2 linked regions of the Notamacropus eugenii genome follow. The protein of the gene in region 1 interacts with the protein of each later gene in a pairwise test. Links are inferred from orthologs where the notes say so. Each region holds a gene or a part of one and is shown in the gene's direction. Other genes may lie near its edges.

What was found. The genes of interacting proteins can lie anywhere in the genome.
Region 2: the proteins of AIRIM (region 1) and PPP1R12C interact in binary tests that used the Homo sapiens proteins (3 or more experiments, as listed by UniProt). The two-hybrid records come from large-scale screens. The link is inferred for Notamacropus eugenii from reciprocal best matches to the Homo sapiens genes AIRIM and PPP1R12C.

Annotation. Positions count from the first base shown.
Region 1 is NC_092876.1:81,541,851-81,548,905, forward strand, and holds the start of AIRIM (AFG2-interacting ribosome maturation factor), read left to right. Parts: upstream 1-4,044; 5' UTR 4,045-4,130; intron 4,131-7,055. Other genes in the region: CDCA8 (borealin), read right to left, coding at 3,518-3,614. UniProt on the Homo sapiens protein: Part of the 55LCC heterohexameric ATPase complex which is chromatin-associated and promotes replisome proteostasis to maintain replication fork progression and genome stability.
Region 2 is NC_092876.1:17,780,869-17,787,699, reverse strand, and holds the start of PPP1R12C (protein phosphatase 1 regulatory subunit 12C), read left to right. Parts: upstream 1-3,822; 5' UTR 3,823-3,837; coding exon 3,838-4,116; intron 4,117-6,338; coding exon 6,339-6,469; intron 6,470-6,831. UniProt on the Homo sapiens protein: Regulates myosin phosphatase activity.

The DNA of each region.
Region 1 (7,055 bases):
GTTATCCATGGATCTCCTACAAAAATATACATCCTTCAATAAAGTGGCTCTACAGCATCCCAATCAGTCACCTCACCTCAGGCAGAGCAGTTCCTAGGGTTAAAGGGAAGAGGGGCAATAGGAGACACTGTCTGAGATGGTTATAAGAAACTGTCTAGCCACTCAGATCGAGGTGTCGATGTAAATAGAAGGATTTACGTTCATGCAGTTCTTTTCTCACAACAAACCTGGCAGGTAGCCAAGACAAGTACTACTGTCCTATTTTAAAAAAGAGAAAGCTGAGGTTTAGACAGGTAATATGGCCAAGATCCCATAGCAAGATAGTGGTAAAAGCCTGAACTGAAACACAGATTCTAAACTCCAGTCTTACCACACTTTCATTGTACAAAAGAATGCTAATATCAACAGTCATCTTTGATCCTTTTTCTAGCAAAAATGAATCAGAGATTTCAGAGATAATGGGAATTATTGAGGGTTGGGAGACCAAAAGCCTTCAGACCACATTGGGTCTTTCGGTATACCTATTTAAAAAAACAGGGATGTAACTTTGCAAATAATGAAAATAATGAAACAAATCAAGTGATTCTGATTTAAGGATTTTGTGCAATAACTTTTTTTTAAACCATCACAACAGCAACTGTAATAGAATTACATTAAATTTAACAAAATTGCCTCACTTTAATATGGGCCTCATGCATTGTAAGAGTTGTGCAACTGATCAAGTATTTCACATTACTCTAAAAACATTCCTAGAGTAAGGGATGACAAACATTCAGCTGGATGACCAAATGAAACTGAACACAAAAGTACTAGAACTAAAATTCTTTAGTTAATAACAAGTATAAGGGAAAAAGCATCATTAAATACTGTTCAACTTAAAGAATATCCAGTCAAGGTTTGGCATAGCAGAAGGTCTCAGGGCTGAATAAAACCTACATATTCTTTCCAAAGAGAAGCCTCTAGCCAATCTCAGAATCTACCAACTCCTTGTTCTGTTTGGCCTTTGCACAAAACATCTTCCATGGTATTGGCAAGAAACTTTTGGAGAATCGTAACAATTCACATTTCTATTGCCCTCATTGTTTTCAAAGTTCTTTACATTTGATCCTTCACACAGGTATTACTATCCTCATTTTACAGATGAAACTGAGGTTCATACTTGCTAAAAGATCTGTGTGTGGTTACACAGCTGTCAACTGCTGGAGCAGGCACTCAGATCAATCTGACTCCAAGTCTAGCGTCAATCATGGGCTTGGGTGTCATCCTATTTTATGCCTTTTTAAATACTGATAGAAGTTCACTGAGCAAAGTTATCTTTGTGGCTTCATCTACCTACCAATCACGGACTACGGCATACCTATGGCAGCTTTCTTGTTGGAAACTCCCTAATAAAAACCACGACTACTTGAAAGAGGTTGATCTAATTATTCACATAGGGGAAAAAAACCTAAGTGTATAAAGAATGCACATCATTTCATGTAATAACATGAAGTTGGATGGATAACACGTCTACCTTGAGCTCAAAATTAACTAGAAAACTGGGTCATATTGCATTTGGGAAACTATGTAGCATTTTCAACTACCCTAAGCTGCTTACTTATTGTCAAAGCCCATCTTTTTAATACTAATATTCTCCCAATGGTATTATGTAGTTGAGAATCAAACATCATAATTTCTGAAAAACCTAAACTGTGAGTGAGCCAATGGAAAGATGCACAGTGAGGATAGAGTATAGACAGTTGTGAAAATCATAGGAGATAATATATGTAATGTACTTTGCAAACTTTATATGATTATGATGTTGTAAAATATAGAAAAAGAACATATTTGAAAAGAAAAAGAGGTAAGATTAGGTATGTAATTAGAGGGATACTGGATGGGTAGTCTAAGTGCTACATTAGTATTCAAAAAACATTAAAAGAACTAGAAAAAAAGACTTCAGGATAATGATTAGAGCCTTTATCCAGGGTGTGTGGAAGGATATGGGCAAGAATTACAGAAGATGCAATGACGTGCTATGCGCTACACTTCTCAAAGGAGTCTCTATACTAATGAGTAACTGCAAATGAAACACTGAAGTAAATGTGAATCAACGCAATATTTTTGTTTCTGTAATCGTACTGTGGGGAAATCATTTTTACCTCATTTACATAATTACCACTGTCTCATAGTTAGATAGATGGATGTTCCTCGGAATGATTTTTAGCCTTCTCATTTTCCAGAACTGAAACAAAGTCTCAGGGATAAGTGATCTAAGTCATAGAACAAGTTAGTGGCAATGCCAAGAAAACAAAGACCTTTTGAGCCCCAGTCCAGGTCTCTCCCCTTTCTCAAACTTCAAAGAACCTTCTGTACTGCTTCTTATACGCTTAGATCAACTGACAAACATTTATTAAGCACCTACTGTATGCCAGGGACTACACTAAGGTGGAGGATACAAAGAACGAAAAAACCCAGAAAAGCCCCCATTTTCGAGCTTAATTTTATAATACTGCATCTTTGTTTCATATCTTCTGCCATACATGGAGCCCTCTGAGGGCTCAGAACACATCTTGCTGAGTTTTCTCAGTGACTTCAAAAAAGTTCCTCGAAAGGATTACACTTCCACACGGCAGCCAAAGGGATTTTCCTTAAGGAAAGGTCTGACCACATCACTCCCCCATTCAAACTCCAACACCTCTCGGATCGACACTTATCCAATCTGGTCACTTTTGGTGTCCCAAAAGTCTTAATACACATCGCAAGCTTTAAAACGAGACATTAATAAAGCTTTTAAAGTGCACTAAGACTTTTGGGACACAGGATAAGCTCTTGTTTGGAAGTTAAAGTCTTTCACAATCTGATCCAACAGACCTTTCCTGCCTAATTATATGTCACCCCACTCCCCATACTCTACTACAATCCCGACGAACTGACCTTCCCCCATCTCCCATTTTCACGACTTGGCATTAAACAATTCCCCCTGTCTGAAATGCGACCCTTCCCTCCTCATCTCCCCCAGTTAAGAATTCCTTGTGTCCTTCAAAAATGAGTTAAAAATGTCTTTTCTGCTTCTTCGACCCCTCCTTCCCCACCACATTACCTGGTACTGATTTTACATAGAGCAGGAAGTTGGAGCATGGGGACCTAAGGGTCCTGGGGAAGGGCTCCGATCAGGTTCCCGAGATTACTAATATGATATTTGCATACCGCTGTCGCCCTCTCCCCCGAAAGAAAGCCAGCTCCGGGCGGGCAGGGGCAGTTTCTGCTTTGGTCCCAGTATCCGCAGCAGTGTGGGAAGATGCTTTGAAAGACCCGTCTCGCCCTCCGAGCAGGCGCAGGTAAATAACTGGGGGGGTAGCGGATTCGGGGCTCACCCCTCCCCCGCCGACGCGTTCCGCGGTTACCAGGGCAACGCGAGCGCAGGCGCCCCTCCCCCTTCCGCCTCGGCCTCGCTCACCCCCTCCCCTTCTCCGCGGGGGCACCTAGTCGACTCCTTTGGTCTCCCTCCTCCGGGCCCCGGGGCCTGTAGAGTTACCTTCACGGTCGAAGTCTTTGAGGAAAGAGGCGAGCTTTCTGCCCCGCACCGCGTTCTTCTTGGTCGTCCGGCTCGAGGCCTTCTTCGACGGGGCCATGGTGCCGAGGCGGAGAAGAGGCCGCGCGACCCGGCAGACCGGAGCGGCGGCGGCGGCGCGAGAGGCGGTCGGGCACCCGGAGAGGTCAGCCCCAGCAGATAGTGCTCCCGCGCCCGAGGAAAAGCAGACTGTTCCGGTCCGACCCCTTACTGCCGAGAAGAACCAGGTCCCGAAGAAGTCCGCAGTGAGCAAATCGGGCCCACCCACCGGTCTCACGGAAGTTAAATGGAGGCGCTGTCTCGGTCTGCGGATTCAAACTCAACCGCCCCTTGACAGCCAATAAGAAGTCCCGCTCTAGAGCGGGCGCGAGGGGTTATCGGGAGAGCCAATCATCAGGCGCTTCCGCAATCGGACCAGCCAATCCTTGGGCAAGACTACAATACCCAGGAGGTTTGGTGGCAGGGGTCACGTGTTTTCTGTGGGTGTGGAAACTAAGCTAGTTGCTTTAGCTCCTTTTTATCCGTTGTAGCCTCTCTCGGGCATGCGCATTGGGGAGCAGGAAGCTCGGAGGACATGGTGAGTGGCGCGTTGGTTGTGCCCCCAGACTCCCGGGGTGTCGGAAATGGCGGCGAGGATCTGGAGGGTGGGTTGGGGATTGCTGAGAGGGCGAGGGAGACTTCCTACCTTCTTACCTGGGTAGGGCCTCAGGGACCTCAGAGATCGTCCCCCTCCGACCCCAGTGTTTGACGGATGGGGAAACTGAGGCCCAGAGACCAGGAGGCCCCGCGACTCGTTGGCAGAGCCAGGCCTCCTCAGCGGGGACCTGACCGAAGTCCGTCCTTGGTCCCTTCCCCCCTCTGGGCCTCAGTTTCCTCAGCTGTAAAAGAAAATTAACAGGAGTTGTCTTTATGTACACGATTGTGAGGTTCAAGTGATGTTCGTATATACTGGTGTCGTCCAGCCGGGATCTCCCAGGGCGGAGAGCCCTTCCACCAACCCGAGCCTGCCGCAGTTCTGTATTTATTTTGATTTACTGTCTTAGCTGTTTAGGTCGCAGAGAGTTTGAAGTGACTTGACGGTGGTCACGTGGCCAGTCAGGTGTCAGAGGTAGGGCCTGAGCCCTAGCCTGCAGGAGGCTTCTCCAAACGCTATCTAAGTGTCAGTAGTATGTTAACATTGACTCAGGCTCTTAGGCCACTTGGCTTCCATCCAGGCTGCCTGACGGCTAACCTCCTCCATCTCAAGAGCAGCTGAATTTTCATTGTAACCCTCCCGTTAGGGATTCTGTCAGCATAGCAAGGACACAGAAACACTTTGGGGGATGTTTTCCATTCCCTTAGCTTCCCTACCTAGAAAATTTGGGGAAAAGTACTCCCAGTATGCTGAGAATAAGTTTCTCCCATGCAGATACACACAGTTCAAAATGTTATAGGCAAAAGTTTTATTAAAAGAGGAAAACAAAATAGTTACACTATAGCTGAGTACCCGTTAGTCCCAGAAATACATGTAAATCGTTAGTCACAGCCCCAAATATGAGAATTCTTATGTAGAGACTTCCTGCCAAATCCTGTCAAGATGTGGTAATGACATCTCCCTCCCCCCCCTTCAAATTCCTGCTCTTTGTGGATCAAATGAAATATTTGTAAAGTGTTTAACAAAGTGCTTATTAAATGCTTATTCCCTTCCCTTCATAATAGAATTTCCTAGTCTCGGAGACCTGCAAAGGTGAGTCCCTAGAGTTCTCCATTCTTTCAGTGTTATCTTCCATATGTGACCTTAGAGTGAAACCACAGGAGATCTTAGATTTAGAGCTGGAAAGGACTTTAAAGGCTAAGGAGACAAAGGCCTTCATTTCACAGGTGAAAAAAGCAAGATAGTGACCTTCCCACTTACTAACTACAGGTCCTCGGTATCTGAGGCCGAATTCTTTTCTCCAAGTCAAGCATTTTGTCCCTTATGCCCAGTAGTTGCACCCCAGGAGAATTTTTTTGTCTCTGATCTGTGCTGAAGGGCTTTTTGTAGCACCTAGGAACTGTGGTTAGAAGCTTAAAGTCTTGGCCCATGGACACCTGAGGGCAATTAGGGCTGCCTGTTGACCCTAGCTTTAGTGGCTAGACCTCTGCCTTGTAAAAGGCAGTGTGGTATAGTGGCTAGAGTTCTGGATTTGGAGTCAGGAAGATCTGGGTTCAAGTCTAGATTCTTACACTTATTAGCTGTGTGATCTATAAGCAAATCACCTTTTTTAGCCTCAGTTTACTCCTTTGTAAAATGAATTTAATAGCACCTGTAGTAGCTCCCTCACAGGCTTATATGAGGGTCAAGTGCATAATGTTTGTTAAAAGCTTGGCAGACTTTAAGGTGTTAAAAATATCAGGTATTATTTCAGAGGATGTAGCAGAGGCATAAGTTTAGGCCTTACTTGAGGAAGTGTTTTTCTCAAGTCCAAGTAGGCCTAGTGGTTTTCTGTATTTCCTCATCATTCTTATCTGGGCCCAGACTACCTCCATATTAGACCCCCTTTGGTGATAGGCATTTGGAGATGAGATCTCGAAGATCATCTAGTCTAACACAGAGCTGAGTAAAAATCCTCTGTACAGTATCCCCCCTAAAGCAGGAATCCAGCCTTTGCTTGAAAACCCTTTAGTAAGGAGGAGCTGTGACCATCCATTCCACTTTGGGATAACTCTTACTGTTAGGAAAGTTTTTCTTTACATGTCACTGAAATGATTCCCTGTGGTTCTGTCTCTTCTCCCTCCCCCCTTCTCCCATCCCCATCCCTATCTCCTCCATGCCTCAAACTCTGCCATTTTTGGCCAAGCAGAAGCAGAAAGCTTCTAATCTCTCTTCCAAATGTTAGAACACTTCCTTTTTTTGAAGACACCTGTTGTGCTTTCCCCCAAGTCTTATTCTTCAGGCTAAACATCTTAGTTCCTTTAACCAATTCTCATGTAGCATTAACTTGAAATTCTCCACTCTGGTTGCCCGTCTCTAATGCTTTCCAGAATTTGTTGGTGCCCTTCTTTCTACAGTGTGACACCTGGAACCAGACATATAATATTCCAGATATGATGTGATCAGGGCAGAATACAATGGACCTTTTCTCTTAAGGCGTTGGGTGTCTTAATGCAGCTTAAGTTTAGCTTTTTTAGTTACTACATAAGCATTTTTCACCCTTGATGCCAAGTGAACCTGCAACCAAGTACAATTCTCAGATCTTTTTTCACAAAGCTATTATGAATTTGATTTTTCTTAAACCAAAGAATAACACTTTTTATGTGTCATTATTAAATTCCATCATATGGAGCTCAGCCCAGTTGTTCTTTCCTGTCCCTTATAGATCCAAATTCCAATTCTCTCATATAGTGGTTTAGCAGTCCTTTCCAGCCTTTTTTTTTTTTTACCTTTAAGGTTTATAGGCATTTATGTCTATATGCCTAACTACAGATGATTGGTAACCATGTTAAGCCACATGGGCCCAAGGACAGAAGGCTGTGACCCTAT
Region 2 (6,831 bases), about 64 Mb from region 1:
GCAGGGAGAGCTTTCCAACCCCTCCCCCACTCCCAGCAGATACTTCAATAATACCAGGGTAGGGGCAGTGTCAGAGGAGAGAAGGGGGAATATTCTAGAGATGCTGCCAAGGTGAAATCAATAAGCCTTGGTACCATATTGGATATGGGAGGTAGCAGAGAGAGAAAAATCCAGGATGACTCCTAGGTTTTGAGCCTGAAGGACTGCGAGGATAATAGTGCCATCTACAGTAATAGGGAAGATGGGAAGTGAGGATTCAGGGAGAAACTTAATGAGTTCTGTTTTGGACATTTGAGTTTAAGTTATCTCCTGGACATCTAGTTGGAGATATCTGAAAGGCAGTTAGAGATGGAAAGTTGGAGGTCAGCAGAGTTTGGGGAAGGATAGGTAGATCTGAGAATCATTAGCATAAACATGGTAATTAAATCCATGACAGTTGATGAGATTACCAAGCAAAGTAGTATAGAACTGGGTTTCTTAAACTTTTCCACCCTTGAATCCTTTTGGACCAAGAGATTTTTACTCAACCCCAGATTTATATAAAGTATAGAAATCAAACATTTACTGATAATAAATCATAAATTCATTTGAAAACAATTCTTCGGTATACATACAATTTTACCGTTTACTAAAGATGAAAGCAAATTCACAAACTAATGAGATGGATGTGTTTGTTTATTTTTACATAAAGAATTAAATCGCAGAGGAATATTTGATACTGCAGGACATAGAGCATCTTCATTGGTTTTCAGAGTTCCTTGATATTTGATTTTCTAATCGTCAATGCTGAAAGTGATGGCTTCACATAAATACGTAGCAGAAAATGGCAGAAGTATGTTTAGGGCCATTTCAGAAATTGCTGGCAATTCTGTCCTAACCCCATGCCAAAATTCAGAGTTTTTTCAGGGTGGGGGAGACTGGGGCATATTTGAAGGCACTAAAGAATAAGCTAAAGCTGAAGATAAGTGAGGAATTGGGGATGACCAGGGGCAGTCTGTTGGAGAAGATGGAATGGATGGGATCACTTCAGCCTGTAGAGGGAGAAAGGCTACCTCTTCATGTGAGACAGGGTTGAAGGAGAAGAGAGGGGCAGAAAGCACCTGAGTGATAGAAGATGGGGAAGAGGGGAGAAGAGGAAATTCACTGCAAAAGGCCTAATTTTTTTCTGTAAAAATATGAGATAAGGCTTTCAGCTGAGAACATGGGAGAAGAGGGAGCCATGGGAGGTTGGAGGAGGGATGAGAAGGTTTGGAAGAGCTGCTGTGTAGAGTGGAATAGTGAGCACATAAGGGAAGTATAACAGCATTGCCTTGCAGCAGTGAGGGTCAAATAGAGGTTGTGGAACATAAAGTTGTAGTGGACCCAGTTGGAATGGCTTCATTATCTTCTTCTCCTTCATTCAGCAGCATATGTGTAGGAGTGAAGAAAGTGAATGACTGAGGCTTGGTTGGGCACAATCAGCCAAATGATAAGAGGATCAGTGATTCAAGAGAAAGGGAGAGTATAGAGTTGAATTGGTTCACTAGGGGAGAAGAGAAGAATGGGTCTAGCACAGATAGGGTGATTTCTGAATTTTTGAATGTGGAGGTGGTGCATTTGTGGGTAATGACAAGATCAAAGATACCTTTGCCATGTGGCTGAGATGGGGTGGAGGAGGGGAGCAGGTTAAGAAACTGAGTGGGTAGTTTCTGACTGAGTCAACATGTCTGTTGAAGTGCCTTAGTACAAAAGCGCCTGGAGATCTGACAACAACAGCTGCTGGGCTTTTGATTGGGTGGTGGAAATGAATTGCAAGAACCTTAAAGGATGAGATTTTACTCTATGATTTTACTAGAAGTGGCAATGGGGAACAAGGAATATCCTAACTCCCTCACCTTGACCGATGACCCAAGGACAATGAGAGAAGGGACAAATACTGAAAAGGGGGGTGAGGGAGGCTGTGTCCTCAGAGGAAAATCAGGTTTCAGTAAGAGCTAATAGATGGAAGGAGTGGGAGAGGAGAAGTTTTAAGATGAAATATGTTGTTTATGGTATGGGCATTCCAGAGAGCACAGTGGAAGACCGAGTGGAATTTGGGATGGGAGGGTTGAGGGGGGTGGCAATAATCAGGTGGTGAGGGCTGGAGAATGGATGATGATCTACTGGGACTTGAAAAAGTGTGAGAATACTCATTGATTGGAAGTTACCACTCCCCTTTCCAAAGGAGGCTGAAGATGAGACCAGTCCAAGTGAAGTATGAGATGGGAGGCACCTGGTCGGATGGTCCCACTGGAAGACTATGGTAACAGTCTGTGTGAGAGACAATGAGGGCCTGAACTAATCTCCAGCATCAACTGTAAAACTCTGTTTGGAATTCAGAGTCCTTTACAACCTGGTCCCTTCCAACCTTCCTGGTCTTCTTATACTTACACATGTACTTCACAAGCCAGCAACACCAGCCTTCTTGCTGTTCCTTGCACAGGTTTCCTTCAAGACGTTCAGGTTTCCTTTTCCTTTTTTTTTTTTAAATGAATAAGGCAGTTTTTTAATCGGTCCAGTAGGGTTTATCCTAATATTTCTTGTGGGTAAGCTGCCACCTGTCTGGCAAATCTGTGGAGGTCTCTGCTTCTGAGGGGGTACTTTCTGTCTCCACCCTGGGACTTCTCCACCATCTTGAGGTCCTCCAGGGCTGGCAGGACCTTTTTGGCAATGCCTTTGCTTAAGTGGCTGGGTATGAGTCCATTGTGCCAGTGCCCACCACAGGTCCTGGCCATGGATCCCATGCCTTCCCTGCCTCCCAAGTACAGGTGGTGGATTGTGAAAGCAGTGCCTGTATACCACCTGCAGGGTGCCAACTTCTTACCAACTTGGATAATGTAACTGTATCTGCCCATCGGGGGGCTGCCTCTGCTGATTCCTGTCCTTCGCTGCTGGTGACTCCAGGCATGGGGCAGGCTCCTCGCGGGCTCACGCCTCTGCCTCTGTCCAGCGCCTTCTCTTCGCCAGTCATCTCCTCTCTATAGCACATTTGTACCCAGTGCCTGGGCTGTGGCACATAATGGGCGCTTAATGAAATGGAGAGTAGGGAGAGCCTTGGCACCACCCTGCATGGGGGGAGAGTGAGGAGTGCAGGATGAGATGGGGGGTTGGGCGGGTGGGGTGCCCTTTACAGGGATGAGAACTGGGCTGAAAACCTGAGCAGGTCGAAGAAAGGGCAAGTGGAGACTACAGGAGGCCAGAGGTCAGAGAGAGGTCAGCGCTGCCCCCCCCCCGCCCCATGCCCGGGGCCTCCGTTTCCTCCTGCTCTTTCAGCTCCGGAGCCGGGTACTCCCTCGGGAGCCTCGGGTGCCCCCTCCCCAGGTCCCGGGGCGTCCATGCGAACAGGCTGCGGAGGAGCACTGAGCCAACATCCCCGCCCACAGACCGCTCAGACTCCGTTTCCCAGCGTGCCCCGGGACGCGCAGACATCATAGAAAGCGGGCCCCGCCCACCCCTGCCAGGCTCTGCCCGCTTCTCGAGCCTGGGACGGCGCTTCCCGCAGTGCCCCGGGGCCGAGGCGCCGAACGCGCATGCGCAAGATAACAGTTCCCGAGTTCCCTGGGGCAGACGGGGTCGGCGCGGTGGGACTACACTTCCCGGCGTGCCTGGGGCCCGAGGCGCGCAGAGCGCGGGCGCGGACTACGGCTCCCGGCGGGGCCCGCGGCGGGCGGGGCTCGGTGGCGGCGGCGGCGGCGGCTCCGGCGGCGGCGCCTTCCCGGCGGCCCCCGCGCCGGGGATCGGGGGATCGCGGAGGGTCGGGCGCGGCGGCGGCGGCGGCGGCGGCCGGGGATCCCCGCGCTCGGGCCACGCCGGGCCGGGATGTCGGGCTCGGCGGCGGAGGCGGGCGCGGGGGCGGGCGCGGCCCGGGAGCGGCGGCAGGAGCAGCTGCGGCAGTGGGCGCGGGCGGCGGGGGCCGGGGAGCCGGCGGGCGGCGGGGGCCGGGCCCGGGCCCGCACCGTGCGCTTCGAGCGCGCCGCCGAGTTCCTGGCCGCGTGCGCCGGCGGAGACCTGGAGGAGGCGCGGGCCATGGTGCGCGGGGGGCCCGGCCCGGGGCTGCTGGACAGCACCAACGCGGACGGCATCAGCGCCCTGCACCAGGTGCGCGGCGGGGGGTCCGGGGGGCCCTGACAGCGCGCCCCTTTCCCTCCCGGGGCTCCCTCCGCTCCGGGCCGGACCTTCTGTGGCCGCACCCCCGCGGGCCCGGCCGCCTTGGGGACCCTCCTTTCCCCCTCCCCTCCCCCACGCTCTCCCAGCACCCCGAGACTGCCCCCTCCACTTGTGTGACCCCTCCCAGCTCGCTGATGCCCCCCTCGAAGCAGGGCCCTTCCTGCCAGTGGCCCCACCTTCATCTTCCCTCCAGGACTCCTTATTTGGCAGTGTCTGCACCAGGAGTCCTTAAGCACCTACTGTGTGCCAGCCCCTGGGTGTAGACACCGGGAGCCCAAGGAAGGCTGGCCTGAGCGACCCTCCTCTGATGCCGGCTCTGCCTTGTCAGTACCCAAGCCAGGGCCATGTGGGGGGATCCCTAGGAGGTAGCCCCCCCCAGGGGCAGGAAGACTCCTGAACCCCCTCTTTGATCTTTCCTAGCCTCCACTTCCTCATGGGTCCGATGGGGGGTTGGACTGGCCCCCGGTGCCTGTCTGATGCATCCTGGTCCTCCAGGCTCCTCTGCCCTGTCCTCAGGTGCACCAGCCGTGCCCCCTTGGCTCTGGAGGGGTCTCCTCTGCCCTCCTCGTCCTGTGTCTGTGGCCCCAGGTGCAGCCTGCGGTTTGCCTGCTCCATCTCTACCCCCAGGCCAACCTGTTCCCCTTCATGGCAGCAGTCCTTGGCTATGTCCTCTTCTCCCAACTGCCCCCTGACTTCTGTATTGCTGGTTTTCCTGGGCAGGGCATCTATCCATAATCTGGGTCCGGAGGCACTCCATCGTCTTTCCTCCCATTCCTATACCAGGGTCCTGCAGCCAGACCCTCCTCTGATGGTCTCTAGCCCTTGGGCCCTGGTCCAGCCTCCTGCCCTGTCCTTCCCAGACTCCCCAAGGGGCACCACCTCCACCTTCCAAGCTCCCAGCATCTCCGCAGGCTGTGGGGACACAATTCCCCTCAATCATTTTGAGCAAACAGCCCCCTGTTTTCCTTCTCACCCTGGCCCTGCCCTGCCGCATCCCAGAGCTGAGGCTGTGAAGGCTCAGAGGGAGCTGGGAGGTGGGTTTTTGTCAAAGCCCCTCCCTTTCAAAGGCTTCAGCATCAGAAATCACCTCATTCCCCACCCTCCCTTCCCCTCCACTGGCTCTAGGCCTCAAGTGTCCCCGGGCTGAGAAGCCCTGCAGCCCCAGACACTGAGCTCCTGGCCAGCCTTCCCTGTCTGCCCCTGCTTTGTAGGGGTCTGTGTGGCTTGGGGCCATCCATTGCCCTCTCTGGACACCCCCTTCCTGCTCTGTGATCTCTAAACACTTTCCTAGCACTGGGGCAGTGTAGTTCCTGTCCCAGGTCCCAGTGTCCTCTCCCACCCAGTCTCCCTTCCCTTCCCCTTTCCTGCAGCCCCAGCCAGGAGCACTGGATGCCTTGTTACTGTCTCCCAGTCCATTCTCCAGTGCTCTGGGGGTGGGGTGCTCCCTCAACTCCTCTGAGACCCCAGTATCAGCTGCTTGAGTCTGAGTTAGGGAGCAGGGACTGGAGAGTGGGCCGCCTGGGTCCCCAGGTACTGGTTGGCTGAGCTCACTCCCTGCCCTCTCCTGAGCTCTCAACAGGTCCTTGTAGGGGAAGCCCCCTTGTCACTCCCCTCCCCCCCATGGGTCTCCATGACATCGGGGAGGAAATAAACGGAGCCCAGAGCTCAGCCCGTTCCCAGGGCTGGGGGTGGGCCTGGCCCCCCCCTCCCTGCCCAAGTTTCCATGACTTCATCCTCCTGGCCCTGGGTGCCTTCTCTCCAGGCCGGGAGGGCTGGGTAGGGGAGTGCTTACTTCTCTTCTAGCCTGGGCCTCTGCCCCTTTGGGCACCTGGGTGTTTGGGGCTTTGGGAACTCAGATACCCGGGCCTGGAGGGAAGGGTCTGAGCCAGCAAGGTTGGGAGGCTTGGGCCAGAGATGTTGACAGGCCTTGCTGGAGGGACAGGGAACGATCTCACACCCCACACTATTTTTAACCTCTGTGGTCTCTGAGGAGAAAGGGGCCAGGGCCCCAACATCTGGGGCCTGGAGGAAGCCTCGGTCAGAGGCCTGAGCCTGCGTTCCCCAGGGAAGAGATGCTAGTAGCCAGCCAGGAGGTCAGGGGTCAGAAGCTCCATCCCCTGCCCCCAGCCTCGCTTCCTCTCTTCCTCTGCCAGGCTTGCATTGATGAGAACCTGGAGGTGGTCCGCTTCCTGGTGGAGGAGGGGGCCTCGGTCAACCAAGCTGACAATGAGGGCTGGACCCCCTTGCATGTGGCTGCCTCCTGTGGATACCTGGACATCGCCCAGTAAGACTCTGGGTCCTGGCGGGAGGGAGTAATCCTAGGAAGAAGGCTGCTGGAGGAGCCAACCGGGGGTGCACTGGGGCGAGTCTGTGCCCAGTCTGGGCCTGCCTTGGCTCACCTTGGAGACCTCTTCCGTCTCCCCTGGCCTCTGGGGCTCTGCATTCTGCACCAGGTGTCTCCTTGTCCTCCCAGGCTTGCTCTCACTCTCGGCTGTTTACTGGGGGAAAGGGTACTGGGGAGGGACTCAGGCCCTGGGGATGCTGGTCACTGTGTCCTTCCCTCTCTGGGCCTCTCTCTTCTCCTGTCTCCAACTGGGTGGGACAAGACCCGAGGATCTGAGGCTGGGAGACCCCTGTTTGGAAAAG